Linked DNA regions of Drosophila melanogaster. The protein of the gene in region 1 interacts with the protein of each later gene in a pairwise test. Each region holds a gene or a part of one and is shown in the gene's direction. Other genes may lie near its edges. The genes, in order: CG4116, CG1486 and SmD1.

Evidence for each region.
Region 2: the proteins of CG4116 (region 1) and CG1486 interact in a two-hybrid assay, tested with the Drosophila melanogaster proteins (one large-scale study listed by BioGRID).
Region 3: the proteins of CG4116 (region 1) and SmD1 interact in a two-hybrid assay, tested with the Drosophila melanogaster proteins (one large-scale study listed by BioGRID).

What each region holds. Positions count from the first base shown.
Region 1 is NC_004354.4:3,065,065-3,071,279, reverse strand, and holds CG4116 (uncharacterized protein), read left to right. Parts: upstream 1-3,717; coding exon 3,718-4,512; 3' UTR 4,513-4,665; downstream 4,666-6,215.
Region 2 is NC_004354.4:21,320,671-21,330,300, forward strand, and holds CG1486 (uncharacterized protein), read left to right. Parts: upstream 1-3,375; 5' UTR 3,376-3,477; exon of another isoform or gene 3,478-3,564; 5' UTR 3,565-3,790; coding exon 3,791-3,901; intron 3,902-4,039; coding exon 4,040-5,152; intron 5,153-5,218; coding exon 5,219-5,500; intron 5,501-5,557; coding exon 5,558-6,073; intron 6,074-6,132; coding exon 6,133-6,326; intron 6,327-6,390; coding exon 6,391-6,733; 3' UTR 6,734-7,480; downstream 7,481-9,630. Other genes in the region: Dd (dullard), read right to left, coding at 652-843, 967-1,149, 1,235-1,492, 2,461-2,559.
Region 3 is NT_037436.4:12,731,272-12,737,906, reverse strand, and holds SmD1 (small ribonucleoprotein particle protein SmD1), read left to right. Parts: upstream 1-3,295; 5' UTR 3,296-3,390; coding exon 3,391-3,404; intron 3,405-3,923; coding exon 3,924-4,284; 3' UTR 4,285-4,543; downstream 4,544-6,635. Other genes in the region: Ptp69D (protein tyrosine phosphatase 69D), read right to left, coding at 1-1,654, 1,747-1,849, 2,658-2,754. UniProt on the Drosophila melanogaster protein: Plays a role in pre-mRNA splicing as a core component of the spliceosomal U1, U2, U4 and U5 small nuclear ribonucleoproteins (snRNPs), the building blocks of the spliceosome.

The sequences.
Region 1 (6,215 bases):
ATAATTTCGATTGCCCACCTTTTAAAACTAAATAATTTCGTTTGCCCATCCTTTAAAATTCATTTTTAACGTTTGCCCACCCTTTAAAAATAAATTATTTCGTTTGCCCACCCTTTAAAATTTGTTTTTGTCGTTTGCCCACTCTTAAAACTAAATAATTTCGATTGCCCACCTTTTAAAACTAAATAATTTCGTTTGCCCATCCTTTAAAATTCATTTTTAACGTTTGCCCACCCTTTAAAAATAAATTATTTCGTTTGCCCACCCTTTAAAATTTGTTTTTGTCGTTTGCCCACTCTTAAAACTAAATAATTTCGATTGCCCACCTTTTAAAACTAAATAATTTCGTTTGCCCATCCTTTAAAATTTGTTTTTTTCGTTTGCCCACTCTTAAAACTAAATAATTTATTTTTAAAGGGTGGGCAAACGTTAAAAATGAATTTTAAAGGATGGGCAAACGAAATTATTTAGTTTTAAAAGGTGGGCAATCGAAATTATTTAGTTTTAAATGGTGGGCAAACGTTTTTTATTGGAAATTTTTATTTTAAAGAGGTGGGCTAAGGAAATTGGTTGTATTTTAAATGTGGGCAATCGAAAAAAAATTTTTGTTAAAGGTTTTTTAAAGGGTGGGCAAACGATAAAAACTAATAATAATGGTTGGGCAAACGTTTTTTGTTGATAATATTTGGATGGGCAAACGATTTACTCTCTGATTAGACCGAGGTAAACTTAAAAGCCTTATATTTCCTAAAGTATAAATTTTTTCAAAATTCTAAAGGGTGGGCAAACGTGGGCAAACGATGTTATTGCGATTTAAAAAAAAAAAATTTGAAAAAAGCGAAATTTTTGATTTTCGAAAATTTTCGAACTTTTTCGAAAATTCATATCTCAAAAACTGGACGTGGGCAAAAAAAACTAATTGGTGGGCAAACATGGGCAAAAAATGGGCAAACGATTCCAGCTTTCAAATTTCAAAAATTCGATTTTTCCGACCCCAGCTTCTTTGAGCTACAGCTGACGCCAGACACGAGGGCAAAGTCGAATCGTGATGTGATGCCATGTGGGGATCTGTGCATCTTTATTCCCCAATCGAAGGGACTCTGTTCGCATGTCTGCCCAGTTTATCCCTTTGTGTGAAGTTTTCTTTTAAAGGCGGGAGCGGGATGACATGGAATGGCGTCGCCGGGAAATTTCATTAAAACGCGTTCTGAATGAATGCATTTTTTAAAATTCCATTCAAGAGTTAGGCCCCTGATATCCATGTATAAGCCCTATTTTAACTAGTGTTTTTTAGCCTCTTTTTTTTAAAGGTTTCACTGCTATACATTTGAGTTTCTCTGTGCTATTTCACTTATTTTTTTTTTATTTTTGGCACTGCTTTACGCTTGCTAAGTGCCAAGATATCCCTAAGTTTGGCATCAATTATGCAAGTCTGTAATTCCCCCCGATGGTCTGTGCAGTTTTCCAAGCCACTAAGTACACCTACCTCCACTATCCACCCCCCCCTCCCCCCTCCCCAACGTACTTCATCATTCATTTGCAATTTCCATTAAAATGTCATTGAAATTTCACTTACAAAAATTTCCCTTCAAAAACCAAACCGAAGTGGAGCAAAAATAAAAATTGAGTAGACGAAAGAACGGAACTGAGTTTTGTATTGTGGTAGAGAATGAAATCTGGGTAAAAGCGGGAATTGGAGTTGGTTTGGGGAAAACTTTAGCTGGCAATTCTATTGCCAAACGCATTTTGCACTTCAATTGCACGTGCAAATGAAAATGGAAGGGGTGGGCTATTGGTGTGTTGGTGTGTTGCTGGAAAAGTCTGCGAAAAACTGAAAAATTCAAGCCTGTTAATATGCGTAAGTGTGTGGGGCAGGTGGGTGTTGGCTGTTGGATGTCGGATGTTGTGTGGTGGGTTGTGGGTGGTGGTTTGGCAAGTGGGTGGAATCTCCTGCGAGGAGTCCTGGCGTGAAGTTGTCGCTTTATTTTTCTTCTCGGGCTTCTGGTGCTGTCATTGATATGGCATTTTCCCCAACCACCCAAAAGTACCTCTGAGTACCTCCCAACCTCCATCCCATTTTTAGCCTCACCTTCTTTCGTTGTCGTTTTGTCGTCGCCTGTTGTTAATTGTCATTGCGTCGCTTTAAGCCGCTCAGTGGCAGGAAAATGGGAAATGGAAGCCTCACCTTGCGTGTGGGGTGGGGAAAATCGAGAGGTGGTGCCGGATAAAGTGAATCAAGAGGAAGGCCAAGGAGCAGGAAAGACTATCGGACATACTCTTGCCTTGCCGAATGTCACTGCAAATCGTTGAGCAAATTGACAGCTTTTAAGTTGACAAACAAATTATTAAGTATGATCATATTCAATATATTTATTTTCTATACGTTAGTATATATATGATATTACCAGTTCTATTTGAATGCACATCACTATAATACTATCTACTAATATTAGCTTTGAAACTAGTTTAGCCTGCGCATTATAATTCGTGTGGATAGTCCGGTTTAAAGATGATTTTAGGAGCATATGCTTCCCTTCGGTGTGGATGGATAGTTTCTCCCTTAGCCGTTGTTGTTATTGCCACTGTTGCTGTTTTCACGCGCGGTTAGCGCCTGTAATTGCATTGCCAAGTAAAGGACGAACCGCGAACAGTGAGCGACATTCGTATGTGTCTCTACGTTCGTGTGGCGCTCCATGTGTGCGCTGCACTGGCAGAAAACAATTGGTGGTTCTTAAAAGCGGAATTTGGGACATACTATCATCATATATCGCTACAATTACAAAAATATATGCTTAACATGGCTGCCCCTTTCTTTGTTTTTTCTTAGTTTAAGAGCAATCCTTTGTGTTTTTGGCCAGTGTAGTTTTGGTGCGTGTGTGTGAGCGTTGGCGTAAGTGAAATTTATTTCAACAGCCCCCGCCAGGCATTCAGCCCCAAAACTGTCGGTTGGCCAACTTAGGCGAAAAATTGAGAAGCAAGGCACCACCAGCAAGGCAGCATCGCATCAACGGCAAATGAAATGAGGCTGGCAAAAAGGGGGATTCCGGGGGTTAAATGCGCCCCAATAGGGGGCGCCATCTGCGGCACACTGGCGCCAAAGTGATGGAAACCATTCCGAATGCACAATCTCACAGCGGTTGATCCAAAAAAAAAAAAAAAAAGGAGTGAATGAAAATATGCAATTCTCAGAGAGAGAGAGAAAGCGTTAAGTGGGTGCATAAAGGGGCAACAGCGGTTTATGGGTTCAACTTTGTATCGTGCAGAGTATTTGCTCGGCTATAGAGCAGTATTCCGTTGCTAATAGAACCCTTAAAAGGTACAAAAACCAATATACGATTTGGATTTCAAATTCCCATTTATATTATTACCCACTGTGCCCGAAAAAACCCCCAACTGAAGCTGCAAGCAGACGTGTTTCTGTTGCTGATTTTAAATTTTAATTAAAGTGTGGCTCCTTGGTTTTTGGTTTTGGTTTTTGGCTTTGGTTTTGCTTTTCGGTTTCGGCTGCGACCACTTGAGGTTCACGATCCGCGGCAAAGCAAACAATGGCCTACAAGTAGGGGCACTTCTTGACACGCTCTTGCCACTTGAAAAGTCCAACTATTTGGCCTCGGGGCCAGCAAAAATGGTGCGAGAAGAATGAAGAAAGGCTTTCTAAAACCTATAACCTATATATATTGGCAAGCAAAATTCCGGGCATCATGGCATCCATGACCGATGAAAGTCGATTTCCGTCAACTCATGTTGGGCTATAAAAGTGCCAAAGATCTGCCCAATGGCACACACAGTTCGATGGTCCATCGTCCAGAAATGATCTACGCAATTCTAGTGCTCTGTCTGCTGGGCAGTTGTTGCCCAGCAATGGCCCAGAAGGTCGAAAAGGATCCGCTGGCCAAGGAACAAAATACCCGTTTGGCCGGCATCTATGTGAAGGATGGCAACGAAAATGGCCAGCTGAGATTCCTGGCATCGGGCTTGAACAGTGGCAGCAGCAGCACCAGCTCTTCAAACACCGGTATCAACTCGGCCCTGAATCAGTACATAACCAATAAGCAGGATATGCTGGAGCAACTGCGTCCCACTTCGGGCACCACATCAACGGGAACGGGAGCTGTTACGGGCACATCGACGGGAACAACAGGAACGACTTCGGGAACCGGAACTGGCCTGGTCACCACGACTTCCAATGGAGCTATCTATGTGAACCTGGGCAGTTCGGGATCCTCATCATCATCGTCTTCCTCCTCGTCGGCCACCAATGCGGCCATTAATCAGGTCATCTATGGATCCTCGCCAGTTGCCGGTCTCTTGCCGCAGATCGTTGGCCAGGCGGTGTCCAGTCGAGTGCGTCCCGGTGGCCAGAACAATAGGAGGCGCGTTCCCGCCCGTAGGCGCCGGGTCAACAAGAGGCGTGGCAGCATTAACAACAACAATCAGCGACGTCGCCGGCGTGGCAACAAGCGGGGCAAGAATAAGGCCCAGGTGATGGTGGTGCGACCAAATCGCGGTTGAGAAGAGGATCCACCGCCTTTCTTAGTTAAGCGAAAAATTACTTTTTTTTTGCCCCCCAGCCAAGGAATTTTTTTTTTTTTAATGATTACTATTAGTATGCGAGAAGGCAACCTTATTTATTTATTTAAATGATTGAAAGCAATTACACTCTGCAACCAAGGTGGTTTTATTCGAGGTCATTATGGCAAAGGCGTGAAATGGATAATTAAATTTTAGCTTTGGTATAACATGCATATTTCATGGACATCATTGCTCTCACCTTGTGTATGTTTTCCAATCGACCAAATTTGCGATTGCAAAGCCTCAAATTTGTGTAGGCCAGTGGATTTGGCGTAGTTGCACTAATTTATGGGCCAACTGGTGTTCATGTTCAAAGGGCCGCCAGTCGGTGTGTCTGCGAGGTGCGCTGGCCCGTTTAGAACCCCCTTGGTGAGCCCCTGGTCAAGTGCAAGACAAACGGTCTCCGGTCGGCTCTGCATGCGGCGGTCAATGTCTTGATAAATGTCTGCAGGATGGCGCCCGGGGAGTGGCGCCCGTTGCTCCTCGTCCTGGTCAGCAGGACGACCCCTCGTGCGGCGCCGCTGTTCCATTTCGCGAACCTCTAAATCACCGTCACGTGTCCGGGCTGTGTATTATGTGCTCATGACTGTAATGAGCCTGTAAGTGGACCTAATCAGTGTCATAATAATAGAAATTAATCACTGCAAGGCCATAGTGGCATGGGTGGTGAAAAATTGTGGAAAGGGGCGTGGAAGGCAAGAGGCCGAATGGAGGAGGCGTGGGCGCCCACCTGCAGCTGCTGGCAAAAGTCAAAGTTGAACTTGCTGGCATTTGGCTCTTGTGCGGTTTTGTGCAGCGCTTTGGCGCACATACTTTGTAAATGTTTTGCAATGATTTGATTTGAAATTCATTTGAATTATTGCTTGCTTCCGGTTTCCGGTGCCTTCAAAATACTTTCCTGTTTCCTTTCCACCGCCGCCGCCGCCGCCCCCACAAACCCTGGCATAGCCTCTCCCCCATGGTGAGGATATGGAAAAGGACCCTATGATGTACGACCAACTTGGTTGGCCTTCTCTTTTGCGTCTCTTCCTGGGGAGTTTATTAAGTACTGCTGCCAAGCAAGCATACACTGAAACGTGCAGACGACTGAGATTTGATGTAGTGAAATTGGTATGCAATGGTTATTTGTTGTGCTGTTTTAACAGAATTATAATCTATATGCAAAACATACCCCAAAACGCAAGTCCATTTCCATTTCTCCATTTCTCGCAGTGCATTTGCATAGACCAAATAGCAACTGGTGTGTGAGTGTGCGGAACTTTGTTAATATGCAAGTGAATGGACATTTCCGGTACGGACAAAACGTGCCATGTGCCAGGCCAAAAACCGAGAGCCAAGGTCCTGGGCAAGCCCGCGAAACCTTTTGGGGGAAAATCTGTAGTGGGCAGGGGGGAGCCAGGGGTGGGGTCTTACGGTTTAATTGGTGGAGGGGGGGGGGGAGTGATGGTTCGGTGGTTGGTACACAGGTTCTCAGCCCAAGGACATGTGCTGTGCTAAAAGTCAAAATCACCATCCACTGCCCTTGGAAGCACTCACCGGTTCCCTTTGGTCTAGCACATTTCGCTGCCCTACAAAGACGAAACTGAAAAGCTTGGGCTTTAAAATTAGCTAATTTTATATTATATACTATATACTATATTAAT
Region 2 (9,630 bases), about 18 Mb from region 1:
GTATTTTGCTTCGTCTTGTTAGTTCGTATCTGCACAAAAACAACTCCAGTGTCATAATAGTTAATTGTTATCATGGTATAGAAATTACAAGACTGTTGTTGTAAGTGGCCTTAGATTTAAATTACAATAATATGATATATAACTTGACAAATTTGTTCTTTATGTTGTGGCTTCGCCTTCTGCTCAGCTTTACATTCATATATATACTGTATACTGTATATATATACTTTATACTATATACTGTCTGTGTTCAAGAGTTTTTATTTGATATTATAATCAAAATATACACCCAAAAAAACAAGCGAAAAAAATGTCTAATAAAAATAGCTGGTCTCTACATATATGGACAAGTATGTATGCATAATTAGATTGTTAAAAAAAAACTGTTAGTCTATACACAAAAGGAGAAATAAACCATCGCTTCCAAATCTCCCAATATATCCTCAACTTTCTGCTTTATCTGTTTGTCTCATCTTATCTCCGCTCATTTGACTGAATGGTACAAATTTTAAATAATAATGAACAAATTCGTTAATGTGTCACAGCACCACCTTGTTTGTTGTTAATTTCAGAAGATATTCTCCCCACTTCGCTGGCCCTCAGTGCTCCTTCTAAATAGATAAACTAAACTAGCGACAGGCGGCCCACCTGCTACCAGAGGCGGTGCAGGTGCAAGTTCCTCGACAGCACCGATCTCACGTCGTTCGTGAACCTCAGCGCATCCAGCATGGGCAGCAGCGACAGCAGCGCCGTGTCCATCGGGTCCGAGAACCAACTCTTGATGGGTATGGCGTTGTTGGGAAAACAGCGATAGGCGCCGGGCGAATTGTCGATGATAAATATCTGCAAGGAACGATGCTCAATTTAGAACAAAATACTCGTATATAAAGTACGATCTTATGCAGCACCCTCTACTTTATCGATTTGCAACTGATGGCTCGCATGGAGTCACTTGTTCCCGCTTACCCTATTTAGGTCACTGCAGATGGCCGACAGGTCTTTGGTGTAGGATCCGTAGTCGGGCGTGCAGTGCTGTCTGTAGTATCGCCTCCGGAGGATGTTTCGTCCGTTGTCCAGCTTGTCTGCCACCGCCGCTCCGTAAATCTCCATGCTGGCCGTGAAGACCACCAGATCGTACCACTGCGAGACCTGCGGGCAGTAGGGCGTAAGTTAATGTGTTGACTTAAATGCGGGAATGCATCTATTTGCTTGGCCAATCAATTCGGGAACTTACCACGTCCAGGAAGTAGTCCACATGCGGTCGCTTGTGCACGAAAAAGCGCACTGGATTCCGATCGATGGTCACTTTGACAGTGAAATCGTGCGGCGTGCCCGGCTTCACCGTATTCCGGGGCATCGCATTGTGATGGGAGTGGATTAGCGTTTCGTCCAGGTCCAGAACGAGGGTCTTGCGCTGCACCAGGCTCAGGCGGTGCCGCGAGACGGGTGACAACGGGAAGAGTTCGTATTTAACCGGTTGATACTGGATAAACTGAGAAAGTTAATACATAATCAACGGAGCAGTACTTGAAAGGCATTCGACATGGGGTTCATATGATGGGCTTGGTGGCTATGCGTCGCTACACTCTGTTGGGGTTGGGTTGCGGTGCAAGGAGATGTTAGAGGTGCTCAATGGCCAAGTTATCACTAGTGCATGGGAAACCCCAATTTACTGATATATTATGCTTTTACAAAACAATTAACAATTATTAGCTGTGCAATAGCATATAATGTTGATGTGGATTCATCGATATCTATGTATATAAGCAGGTCGAAGGTCAGTGCCTCTGCCGCGTCACGATATCTGGCCAAAATCGCCGGCCCAGTACTGAGAGAGTATTGAAGGCGGGTGGTCGATAAGGCGGATGGGAGAACCGTGGACAGCACTTCTGGGACGGGTGGGGATTCGGTGGAACACGAACCATTAAACGTGTGGCGGAAAATCTTGATAGAGGCTTACTTTAAGACAGGTGTCACTGGCTAAGCGGTACCCAGCAAAAATATATGTAACTTTACGAAAATTTAAAATTTTGCAAATATTTAGGAATAAATATCTCGTATTCGTATATATTGAAAGTTACTCTAAATTTAATAGATCGCACATTGAAGTAACGTAAATATAATTTGAAAATATAAATGAAACCATATTATTGATATGAGAGATTTGCAGATACAAAGATCTAAAATATATGAATTAATTTTAAGTTCAACGTTTCTATTCATGCAAATCTTCAAATAAATTTCCGAGGCAAACACATCCATACTCTCTAGCGAGTACTACCTGTATCATTGAAAATCTTATCAGTGCGGCCGCTTTTATTATTATTATTCTGTAGCAGTAGTACTTAAGTTTCGATAGCGGGAGCGGGTTGGGAATAATTTCGGCGTTTCGGGCGGGTAAAAATAGGACTATTTTTGTTTTGTGATTTACTCCTGCTTTCGGGTAATTTCAGTACTTACAGCTCGCACTTGGCGATTGAACATGAAACAAATGCATGTCCATACTTTTGATAGCAACAACAAAAGCGCACGGAATTTCATTTGCAGCAGCGAAATCATTGGAAATAGTGCAAGTCCTTGTACGGTGTTTTTTTTGTTCGGGGCGATTAATTCGATAAATCGACCACGATCCGCGATTGACCGCGGTGCGAGCAGATTCCTCTTCTTCTTCCGCCTCCTCTACTTTATTTTTTCTTTTGCAACGAATTGTTGTTGTTTTTGATAACGCGCCGAGAGCCACACGCACACTCACCCACACACCCGCGGGCGCGCTTCACACAACACACACTCACACAAAAAAAACCCGGAACAAAATCGATAACAAGGCTTCTAGATATTTTGTTGAAAGTGTTTTTCTCTTTTCCCGGTTTTTTACTTGAGTTCAATTATTCGGTGTCGCCTAGTTTTAAGGTCCCTTTTCAAGGGAGAAGGAGGGGTATGGTCTTATTTCCAATTCTTTTGGGGGCTTTTTATATCTGGCGTCTGCTCTTCTTCTTCTCTTTTGTTGTCTTGTACGCCAGTGTGTGAGTGTATTGTTTTTTTTTTAGCGTAGTGTAGTTTTTATATTTTGGCAACTATCGCACCGATTTGGGAATAGATTTTGTTTTTGGTTGAGCAAAACGAATCAATTGATTGAGCTATTGCACTTTGATTGCAGTCGATTGCGAGGTGCGTTCGCCTGAATAGTACGACCTGGCCGTGGACTGTTCATTACTCGTTGGCGCTGCGGCTTAGTGTTTATTACATAAATATAGTTTGTCCGCGTTTCGTTTTTGTTTAATAAATTCCCACACTCATGCACACACTCATGTTTATTCGATACTATCGCACTTTCGCAGCATCGATGAGTTTTCCGCAACTATCGATGGCTGTGTAGTATGACCGTGCGGTGCTGTCTTCAAAATCGCTGAGACACAAACCGTGACACAAACCACTGTGAAAACTCGTCGTTTAAGGTTACGAGTAGGTGCTATGTATGTACGTTTGTGTGCTGCTGTCCAACGTCTTTTAGTGGCGGATATTATAATAGTTTTCCAACTTCCTTGCGACCTATTCCATCACCAGAACCATGGGCCAACAATCGCACACTATTTGCGATCTTAGTCAGACGCACCCACTACGGTCACACCATTCCACATCAGCCTCTCTTCCATCAACACACACACACACTCGCCCGCCCCACACACACACGCACACACACCCACCCACACAGACGCAGTGGCACGAAACGAAAACAATTATTTTGCATCGCAGGCGATAAGTTAAAAGTGATTTAGACCGCACTGAAACCATGTCAGCGGCTGGTAGATCGGTGGACGATCCCGGCCAGAGCCCACTCGTAGACCAAGAGCCGGATCCGGGCCAATCAACGCCAGCGGTGGCCGAAATCGCCGCTTCCAGTGTGAGTGTTTGGTTTTTTTCGCCCTGCTTCTATCTTTTTTTTTTTTGCTGACGACGACGGAAGACACGTCAACTTCTGGAGCGCTGTTGTTTACCTTGTCCACTATCCCACCTAATTAGCCATGTATTCGCCACATAGATTCGATCGGGCCTGGCGGAGCTGGAGCTGCGATCTTCGCAGGTGCTGCAGCGCTTAGAGAACGTTAAGGTGTCGACCACGCCGGAGAGCCCAAATCCCGTCGAGAACGAGGAAGAGGCTGGGGAGCGGGTGACCAGCGAGGACCTCCTGCCAGCGAAGCATCGCGTGCCCTCCGACATTCTTAAGTCGCTGGAGCAATTGGTTTCTTACACGGACAGCGACGATGATCCGGAGTTCCCGCTGCCCGCCCTGGATGACGTCTCCCACTTGGCTCTCATATCGCACAGCATTGTGGCCTATTTGTCGCATCTGGACCGTCAGCAACTGCTCCGGGTGACGAACAGCATTTCCGGGGACGCCACCCGCTGGTTGGGCACGCTGTTTCACTTTGCCCACCCGGCGAGCAGCTTCCATGCGGACAATGCAGACGCGGTGCTGCGTACGGTGCGACTGGCCATCGTCGCCAGGTGTCCGGGGTACTTGGAGGGTGGCATACCCGCCCTGGCGCAGCCTACGTTTTACATCTCGGAGAATACGACGCCGATGAGGCTGCACTACGCATGCCGCCAGTTGGGCATACCGCTGGAGGCTATTAAGGTCATTCCGGAGCACAGTCAGTCCGGGACAATGGATGTGACGCTGCTGCAAAAGCAAATTCAGCAGGATGTGGGCAATAACAGGACTCCGCTGCTGGTGGTCGCCGACATTGGAGCCTCGTTGTGTGGCTATGTGGACAACCTGCTCCGGCTGAGGGACGTATGCAAGGCGCACAACATGTGGCTGCACGCCAGTGGCCACGGACTGGCCGCCTTGGTGTGCGCCCAAAATCAGGGCCATGTGGAGGAGGTACTCCACTCGATGGCCCTGAATTTGGGCAGCTGGCTGGGTGTGCCCAGTCTGCCCATCGTCCTGCTGCACCGTCCGCTGCAGAACAGCGCTCTGAGTGCCTTCGAATCCGATCCCATACTGTCGCGTCGTCTTAATGCCCTGTCCTTGTGGACCAGTTTGCAGGCGCTGGGCCGGAAGGCGATTGCGGAGCGTCTGCATGTGGCCTTCCAGACGTGCAGTATTCTCTTCGAGATTGCCTCCAAGTGTGAGGGCATCCGGGTGTTGGTAAATTATTGCACACACGTTTATGGATAATGTTTTTAGTTTACCAAAGGACCTTGGCATTTTCAGAGCCATACTCCAGGAGCGCAGACCGGAGCCTCTTTGTCGGACGTCATTCAGAGCCCCTTTGATGTGCAGGCGCTTTTTGATGCCGCCGCCCCCGTGGTCGCCTATCAGTTCGACGGCAGCACCACCATTCCACTGGGCGGGAGTGGCTCTTCCGCCGCCGCTGCCGCTGCTGAGCGGGAAACGGCCGAAGGCCTCAAGCCGCTAGAGAAGATTAACAATGCTTCCTACTTCGACCGGCTCAACTCCTGGCTGGGTCAAATCTTGCAACGCGACTGTCCCAATGTATGCAGTGTGAATTAATCATCTCCTTGTATGAGCCTAATCACCATGTTCTTCCAGTTTGACTTTGAGGTAATTGAACACCCGACGCACGGCAGCTGCATTCGCTACTGTCCGCTGGAATTGGGGTTGGGTGAGCAGCCGCCAAGCTCCGAGAACCTGGAGAGCTTCGCTCAGAGCTTAGAGGCACATGTGGACATCCTGCGCGCGACCATCAAGCACAAGGCACGGTTCATTCATCTGGTGGAGTGCAGCGACGTGCTGCGCCTCGTTCCACTGCCCGAATGGGCGGGCATGGGCGGTGTTCGCTTCGTGCCCGAGGGCTGGGAGTCCCTGCTGACGGACCAGGCCAAAACAGAGCTAAACAAGCTGAACATCGACCTGGTGGAGGCCCTGAAATCCACGGACAATGCCTTTTCATTAGGCGAAGGCACCGATGGTCTGATTTGTGTGCGATTCGGAATGGTGACCCATGAAACGGAGGTCGAAGAGTTGTTAGACTTGGTGGTCACGGTGGGCAAGAGCGTCCAGGAAAACTCGCGGGTATTGGACACCATGTCGGAGATTGTTAAAAAGGTTGGCTACCACCTCGTACTGGATTAATGTAACATGTGTTAATTTATTTGTACGCTCAGGGCATTGAGGCGGTTACCGCTGATCTGCAGCGCGAATCGGAGGAGAAGCTCTGGCAGGAGGGCATCCTGCGCCACGTGCCTGTGGTGGGACGCGTCTTCAACTGGTGGTCCCCACCGGCCAAGGAGTCGGGCATCAAGGGGCGGAGCCTCAATCTTACCCAAGGTGTTGTCGAAAGCACCGAGAACATTTACAAGTGGGTTCCAAAGATCGTTTGATATTGTGTCCTTGTTTAATGTTCATCAATCTACACTCCAAAGGTACCACATGCAGATGACCGGAGCCACTGCTCATCAGTTGCCAGCGAATCGTTCGCCTCCCACACCCATGGTGCAGACGCCCGTGGTCGCGCCTGCCTTGCCGCCCGTCTTTCCCACGGTGGAGCCCGTACCCGGAAATGGAAACGGATCCGGAGCGAGCGAGGGCACGCCAGTGCAGTCGGGAGAAGCTTCGGGATCGATGCCAGCAGCCTCGGGAGCGGCTCCGTCTGCGGCGCCGACCCAAAACCATGTGGATCATGCCCGCACCGTCAGTCAGAGCAGTGCCGCCTCGTCCACCGTTCCGGAGTTAGTGGCCGCCAGCAGTGCAATTAACAATAACTAACAATAACACAAGTACGAGTATATTTCAAAATTAACTATAACTGAACGGCAGAGGAAAACACTTAGATCAAGGCAGAGCCAGCAATATGGATTCCACAGTGGGAGAGGCCTTAAAACGCAGCAATATCAAACAAGGCTTGAACTGAACAGAAACGCGTAGACAAAAACTGGACAGATTACCATATATATGGACGGCTTCATTTCCACTTTCCCTACTTAAACGAAAAGAATTCCAAAGAGGATGATTGTTCGCCCGAAAAGATGAAAAGATGATGATGATATGATCCAATTGAATTGCTTTTATGTATTTATATGTATATGGCTATTTCTATGATCTTTTATATATCTCCATTATATATTATATTATTTTACCTTATACTTTACTCCCACCATTATTGTTGATTATGATCAGAGGGAAATGTGCGTAACTTCGTCCTCTTTACGCTTTTATTTTTTTGTTTTTATAATTATTCAGATGCAAGTACCTTTGAGAGACATAATATATATACATTTATATATATATAGGCAATTCTTCAATGTTCAATTGTGCGAAGCAATAAATTGCGCTATTCTTATTCGTTAAGCTAAGTGACAGTAAACTAAAGAAATTAAAGAAAACGCGGAGAAAGAAAATAATTAAATGACAAAAATATATTTATTATACAAAAATTGCTGCTATAAGAAAATATCTGCACAAAATATGATAAAAGGAAACTATACAAAATAAAATGTGAAATCATTTAGAAAGAGAAAGCATGTGTTTCTTGTTGACCTTTCGCCTCTAAATGGTAATATCTTCCCCTTTTGGTTTGTATTTCCCTAAACCGATTAAAAATGTTATTTTTTTAATTGTTATGTTTTCGTTTAGAAACGTGGCAATGTGATAAGTTTTTTTTTTTCATACACCAAACTTAACTCGATAGTTTCCAAACTTTTTATCCGATTTTCTCAACCTTTTTTTACAAATCTTAATCGTTTGATCGAAAAATTTACAATTGTTGTTAAATTACTAAAGGAAAGATGATGGTTGAGCTTATGATTTTATGCAAATAGGATACTTTTTTTAGACACATAACCTCTCTTATATAGTTTATGGTATGAAAAGTTAATTTTGTGTGGTTACATACTTACACAAGTACTGATAGTTTTTATGACCATATTCACCTTCATCATTCGTCACTTTATTGGCCCCCATTAAAAAACAACAGTTCTCCATCTAACTAATGCAATTAAATTTTATATTTTTATTTTATTTAATATTTTTTGTTGGATGTTTTTTAGCGCTTTACTTTGCCGCTGCTTGCTTTTGAATGAAATTCCTCCCGACTTCGCGCCTTTCGTTACCCGCGACTCATTTCGATTTGCGCATAAAATATGTTTTCATTCCAGAAATTTGGTGTCTCCCGCTCATTGGAACAATTCCGAGAAGCTGACGGGGCAAAAGTGGTTTCTGGAACACACTTATTAGTTAATTGTTGTATTTCGTACTTCTTACAAGAGTTTTCAAACTGTTCGTACGATTCGTTAGAATCGCCTGCGTGGTTCATTTTGGTTTTAATCGTTTATTAATATGCCACTAAGCGCTTCGATTTATGCCTCTGGTCTTTACATTTTCTTTAACTATGCATACAATATATTTAAATATATATTTATATATATATATATATATATTATATTATATATATATATTATTATATATATATATATTATATATATATGTATATACATATATGTTGTACAACTCGATCTTCTCTCGTCTTATTGCCGCTGTCGCCGGGCCTTCGAAAAAAATGTGCAAATTTCGTTTTGAATCTCCTGTTGGGCCTTTTCTCGGATTTTATGTACTTCGAGATCGGCGCACCTATGTTTTTTTGCGTTATTCTTAGGGATTTTCTTTTGTAATAACTACAACGCGTACGATGACAACATTTAACACAGAAATATATTTACGAACTAATTGTGTTATATTTATATGTACGTGTACGTGGAGTTCCGATCTGGGCTCGGAACTCGCATTACTCCCAAACTTTGCCTCTCAAGGGGTTTTCTCCGGGCTTTACCATTGACTAGTATAATTCGGTACTGCTCATGTAGATTGGGCGATCCTTAAAGGATGCTTAGAGAGGATTACGATTCGATTCGCTTCGGTTCGGCTCGGTTTCGTGACGAAGGACCCCTTAAGACGACTGCTGTTCGATTTGTGCGTATTTCGTTTGTTGTTTTTTTTTTATAACTGGTAATTGTATAATAAGCGAATAAAAAAACTTGATTAGTTTGTTCCGATCTCTCTTTACAGCGTCTTTACATATTTACTTTAAAAATGCGATTGAGCCAACTTTGATCTGAGTCCTCCGATTGTTAATATCTTACAGTTGATCATTTCAATGGGGGGATCGCTCTAGTTGGGGCTCGTTAGGTGTATGTATGTATGTATATAATGTATGTATGTATATTATGGCTAGATTGATCGATCGATTGATCGATCGTTTTGGGCGATCCCTTGATCGATCGATCGATTGGTAAATGTTGAGAACTTCGCTGTGTGGGCAGTGTTCGGATGCGACATAGTTTTTGTTGGCCGTTGGCCACCTGGCGTACACTGAAGTTGGCCTCCGGGAATCGATCTAAAATGCTTCGATTATTCTTGATGCGTGTTGCTGGTATATAGTTGTCGATAGGCTTATGTATCTTGTCTATATAACTATTTTATAATATCTATTCGTGTATATATCGCGCGTGTATATATATCTATATAACTTTGTAGTTCGCTTGTTTTCTCATGTCTTGTCGCTTTTAATTCGGGTTTGTCGGTTTGTTTTCGGTAATTAGGGGGGGGGGGGTGGCAGTACTTTGTGTTAGTTTCATATTGCTATCGGTTTCATGCCAAGTCGAATTGTT
Region 3 (6,635 bases), on another chromosome or scaffold:
ACTACTTCTAGTCACGTTATCGCTGTGAACCTCCTGATATGTGGCGATGTTTAGCTTCTCCGGGTCCGGCAATTCCTTGTTGTCATTGTTAATTCTAACTAGATACAATCTATAGCAGCATATGGGCCCATTGCGTTCGCTGATCTTCGGTAGATACAACTTGAGAACGTACTTGGAGTCCAGGTTCACCTTTGACCACATGGTACGGCCAATGGCATCCGGCGTGGAGACGGGCATTAGACAACTTCCGGTGGCCGGTTCGCCGTTCTTCTTGTGCCGCGTTATGGCAGACACCGTCACCGTGTAGTTTGTGTTCGGGCTAACACTTTCGTAGAGGGTCTTGTGATGGGGTTCATCGATTCTTCGAATCTTTGGTCCCCACATCTCTCTATCCACTGTGCTCATGGGATTGCCCAGCAAGTGAATTAAATATGACACAACCTTGCCGTTTGGCGTCTTGGGAACGTCCCAGTTAATGGCGATGGAGTTGCCTCTCGTGACGTTGTCATGATGACACTGTATGCTCAAGTTGGTGGGTTTTGTTGCCACGCCGTCCATCGTTGTGCCGTTCACGTTTTCGGACCATGGTCCACAAGTCTTGGTTAGATCACTACATGCCCTTACCCTAAATTCGTAGTCTGTGGCGGTCTTAAGCTTATCAAACATGTATGGCAAGTTTCGAGAATTCTGCTGGTAAATGGCCTCTTCGATCACTTTGGGCACCTCGCCCGATTCGGAGACAATCAGTTCGTAGTATTGTATATAATCAATGAGATCTGGCGGCGGTGGATTCCAGCCAATCGTTATCGTGGACGCCGTGCTGCCGGTGGTCTCGACTTTTGGTATAAATATGGGATCATAACTAAGCGTGGTGATTCCCTGGGGATACTGGGTGGGTTGGCCATTGCCAATCGAGTTCTTTCCCACGATTCTTAAAAAATAGGTTGTGTTCGGCTTGAAATGGTCCAGAATATACGATGTATGGCTGCCGTTAATAAAGTCCTTATGATAAGTAAAAGTCGGTGTTCCAGCCTCCTGCAGAGTGATGAAGAACTTCTGAATTGGATCGTTGCCGTCGTTAACGGTCCAATTTAGGTATATTTTATTAGCACCAACTGCCTTGGCGAAATCAATGCTAACTTGTGGCACTTCCATTACGAAAAGGGTAATCTCTTTGGAGGTAATTTCGAGTCCGGTGTCATCGAAGACGGTGCACTTGTAGGTGCCATTCTCTTTCTTGTAAACTTCTGTGAATTCCAGGGTGAAGTTTAAGTGCGTATCGTTTAGCTTCGAAATGGACGAGAAGGTGTCCAGGAATTCAAACTGGCTGCCGTCCTTAAGCCACTTGAGGTTTCTATTAGTTGTCTCATTTTGTGGGTACATCTCGATCAAACAGTACAACATGACATCCTGCTTGATTTTTCTCTTAATCCTATCGGGGGTACTTTGCAGGACTTTGGATGGAAGGTATGGCCTAACTTGGAATTCAGTCGAATGGTTTTGCCCCGTTTGGGCTGTGCATGTGTAGTTCCCCGAGTCCTTTATATTGACATCGAGAAGCGCCAGGACATTCTTATACTTGATGAAGTCTTGACTATCGTTGTTTTCACTGCCATCGTCGTTGGATTTCAATGGCTCAGTTCTTATTTTATATCTGAAAAGATCGAAAAATGATCAGATTATTATGTTATTCCATCTTTATGGGGGCAGAAATATTTTTAGATGCTTGTGCAATAAGTTACTAACCTTGTATGGTTTTTATTAATAGTTTGGTTGCCCAGCTTCCATGCTACTGCTTCGTTTTCAGATGCGCACTCTAGAGATACGTTTTTACCTATTTCTGCCCACTCTGTAAATAAATTTCATTAAAATAATTATCAGTTTTGTATATAGACGTAATTATAGAAATTACACCGATCTAGTAGCAACATGCTTCTGTCAGCCTAAAAATATGTTAGACTTAAAATATATCTTCCTGATTAATGGTTGTGTATATTTAAATCTGATTATAGCTTCCGGGTTTTATGCGATTTAGTAAAATATTCAAATTAGAACTATATTGAAGGAAAATTTCTTATTTAACTTTCCTATTAAATTTTAAGTTTTATGATGGACACCAAGAAAGGTTTTTCTGGATGGGCGGTAAAAGCCAGACATAAAAATGAAACTACACCCACAATATTGGCCATAAAACTCGCGGTAGTAATCCGGCGTAATTTCGGAATCAACACGTATTTAGCTGAAGAAATATTACAAATATATATATATGTGATTATATTTCAGATAAATCAGATAGATGTACATAAGTATGTACGCAGAAACATAAAACGTATGTATGTACCGGGAAGTGTGTACATATGTATGCGCGACTACTTTTGTTTAGCCCCAATTGAAATCTCACCCCATCGCCGTAATCTTTGGGCGTTACCGACATAGTTCGAGTGCTACTGTATCTAAGAACTATACAACCGTCTTGTTAACCACCATATCAAATGATAATTCCAGTTTCCAACTTAATGTAAAACACTCCATTCACATTTGCAAAAACAACACAAAAAAAAAATGAGACATTGCAATTTGTTGACACCCACAAACGGTTCTTGATGTACGTATGTATGTACCAATTATGATGTTCGTCTGAGTTTTTGAAACATTACCTTGTTTCACAGATCCTTGCACACATATCGCACAAAGGAAAATATATGCAAGAATTATATTTAATAGCATCGACATGCGTCGGTAGAGTAACGCCATGGCTTGCTAATTTCTCACTCCGAGCCGGATAAATACATATGTCAAAAATTATATTCGATGTCTGCGTTGAGTTAAAAAGCTCTACTGCGTTGAACTAATGTCGCGGCGAGTGCAAAACACCGACAAATGTGTTTTATTAAAAACCAGTTAATAGACGGCGACCGCGAATAAGTATTAATCGTTATTTTCTTAACACTGGATTGTTTTTTTTTCGCGATATGCGGCGTTATCGATAAGTCAGTCGAATATGTACCCTTGGCTGCGGTTACCAAGGGATTTGGAACAACTGAATTGGAATATAATCGTATATTATAATAATATAATCGTAATCGTATTTATTAACATGAGTAATTAATAAGACACAAGTATTTATTTATAGAGCAGTATGACATTAATTGTTACTTAATTGTTGCAAATTTATAATTTATTTCTGGAATGCATTAATTCATTTATTACTTCATATTCACTTTTATTACGATTCCGTTTGGTAGCCGATATATTTTACAATACCAATGAGCGTTGCTATCTTAGCACACGATACAACAGTTCACCGCAACCACCAAATTCCAAGTAAACTAGCCGGCATTGTTTGTGCGCGTTTTTTTTTGCAGAAAACCACCAAAAACACATAAAAACATGAAATTAGTAAGGTATGTTATGCGTCATTTACCTAAACTAAAACTAAACTTGTTAGCAATGCGTGCAGTATAGTTTCATTCAGTTTTTGAGTTCTGCGATTCTGCACACATGTATGCATGCAAAAGCGATGCTCCCATTTGTTGTTTTTGTACACAAAATTTAATTTAATACGAATGTTGTTTTGATCTGTTATTATAATAGTTTTCCATTATTTACTTGTATCTGGTAACAATTCTTGCACTTTAAGTAGCATTTTGCATAACTATATTCAATGCAATCAACGCTCTTAATCCAAGGCCACCAAATACAAGCTACCTTTAAATTCGTACTAATTTGCTAAAAGTAAAGGCTCTACTAAGTATATTTCATCATAAAGGCTGCTTGCATACACCTTATTGTATCTCATTTTTCAATCACCCAATAAGATATTTGTTTCTACCTATAATAGCCTTGCATCTCTGAAATGCTGCATCTTTGCAACAGGGATTTCCTTAATTTCGTTTACTAATCTTCCCGTTGATGCATTACAGATTCCTTATGAAGCTAAGTCACGAGACCGTGACCATCGAACTGAAGAACGGCACCCAGATCCACGGCACCATTACCGGCGTGGATGTGGCCATGAACACTCACCTGAAGAGCGTTCGGATGACGATCAAGAACCGGGATCCCGTCCACCTGGAGACGCTGAGCATTCGCGGCAACAACATCAGATACTTTATACTGCCGGACAGCCTGCCGCTGGAGACGCTCCTCATCGACGACACCCCGAAGTCGAAGACAAAAAAGAAGGACAGCGGCCGCGTGGGAAATCGCGGCAGGGGCAGAGGCGCCCGCGGACGAGGTGGTCCACGGGGTCGCGGAAGGGGCCGAGCTTCAGGCCGACGTTAATCTTTGTAACAGCTACATCTAATAAACAATATTCGATAAATATAGAATATAAATATTCTTTGGATAAATCCACACTGTATGCATTTACTATGTACGAACAACTGACAAATGTCTTCAGCTAGTAAAGAAACTCCATCTGAATATGTATATTGTTAAAAATCACTCTGTGTAGTAGCTCAGGAAAAATGTGTTTACTTGGCAACAAATTGAAAGAAGACTCCCGCCATTAAATTATGATTAAAAATGTTTGAAAGTTTGTAAAAACGCTTTTTTATACTTTTAATTGTTTTTGGACGCACAAAATGTCTTTCAAATGTTCAACAATAGTAGGAGAAAACTGTGTTACTTAAGCTAGGCTATAGATTCAAATATATTTACTACTGCCATTAGGATGCGTGGTGAACAATGAAACAAACGACAATGTTAAACCCATGAAATGGGCATCGCCTTAAAACTGGTTAACTTAAGAGATTCTACTTTAAGTAACGGATTGGAAAACATATCAAAAGAAACAATAGATATAGGGATAATGGAGTAACCCTCACTTTAAAACCCATTATTAAGGACAAAAAAATATAAGTGATTTGTTTAAGTTTTCAAAGGCAGGTTGAACCGGTTCCGATAATATATCGAAATGTCAAATTGTGGAACTTGCTCCGATCAATTATCGCTATTCGGGTTCGGATACCCGCTAAAAGTAAGGCGCCAATTTTAAATCTTAAAATTTAAATTAGGAATGTCTTTTGATAACACAATTTTTTATTTTATATTTTTAACTCAAGTTCACAATTGCTCAAGCTTCACAGCTCTATTGCTTTCCTTTGAAGTCTGGTCAGAGCCGGGAATTTGTATATATTTGTTCGTTTATGGTTTAATTGAGAATGTGATTTTGGCTGCAGCTGTTGTTGCTTTGCTTTGCATACTAAGTTTGTTTGTTTAATAATCGTGCACCATATATATACATATATATATACACTTGACGGTTATTGGATCTCTGCAGTGTTAGGATTGTTAAAAGTCGTAACTTATCGTAATTTATGCTTTTGATGAACATCATTTGAGGGATAACATACAACTATGACACAGGTAAATATTTAAAAATTAAAATTTTTTTCCACAATGTTATATTTTCGGTTACCTTAGTGCCTATATAATTGCTTTGTTTGCATTCAATCTGACTCAATTACCTTTTCTGTATCTTTTTCTGCAACCGTTTATTTGATATCAATATATTAACTTTAGCCATTCCTTTTGAGCTTAGTGCTTCGGTTTTACCATTTTGATTTCTCTATTTGTTACCATTTATTCAACAATAATACAGCTACATTCGATTTGCATTCAAGCAGAAATGCAAAATGTTTGTGATGAAAGGATATCGAGTTTGTATGATGGATGTAGTAAGTCATGAAATCACGATAATCTAATTAAATCCATTAGCAGATATTCAGTCACCCTCGAAAAAGGGTTGAAAGTACTCGGCTGTAAGTTTACACCCTGCACAAATAAGGGTTAAAAAAATAAGGGGAAATTATTTGAAAGTATCTTCGGGCGATTAAATACATTTAAATTACGTTTAAATACATTTTATGTATTTTACTTATGTTTTGTTATGTTTATGTATTGCTAATGCTTAATGAAAAAGGGTTTGTAAAAATAAAAAGAAGCAAAGGTACTTGGACATAATAATTTTTAATTTGCTTAATAACGCTTTTTTAGAAATCCTGTCAACATTCGGAATTCAACGGATTATCAAGGAATAAAATTCAAAATCAAACATGGTATAATTAATAATCTTCTTTGCAATTAGACCTTAAAAACAAATAATGTATACAAAATATATAAATTTGTATTTCTGGCAAGACGAATATTAACAAAATAATAATATCAGAACCAGAATTATTAATGGGTCGTATTTAAATAAAAAGAATTTATGTTTATATAGACTATATTTAGGGCATTGAAATATTTGGGATACCTTCCCGAAAAGATTGTTTTAAGCCAAACTTCATTAGTAGAGAAAACTTGAAAATACTTGAATATACTTACTAATTTGCGACATACGGTGGAAAAAAGTTTGCGACAATCCAAGGAACTAACTTTAAGTCGAAATTATACACAGTAATTGATAAGCGAAAATTGAGAACAGCAATAGCCGTGGTTGGAACACCTGCCCAAATAATTTCGGATCAAAAAAGCTCAACGTTTTTAAAAGCGTCAATGAATGCGGAAGTTCGATTTTGTTATCCTCAAACAACTTTGAAGATTTTCAAATTCTGTGCAATCGATTGTCTCGACTTGTATATAAATAAAATATTTGCAGCTGATTTGCTCAAAGACTTTCTGATAAAAGA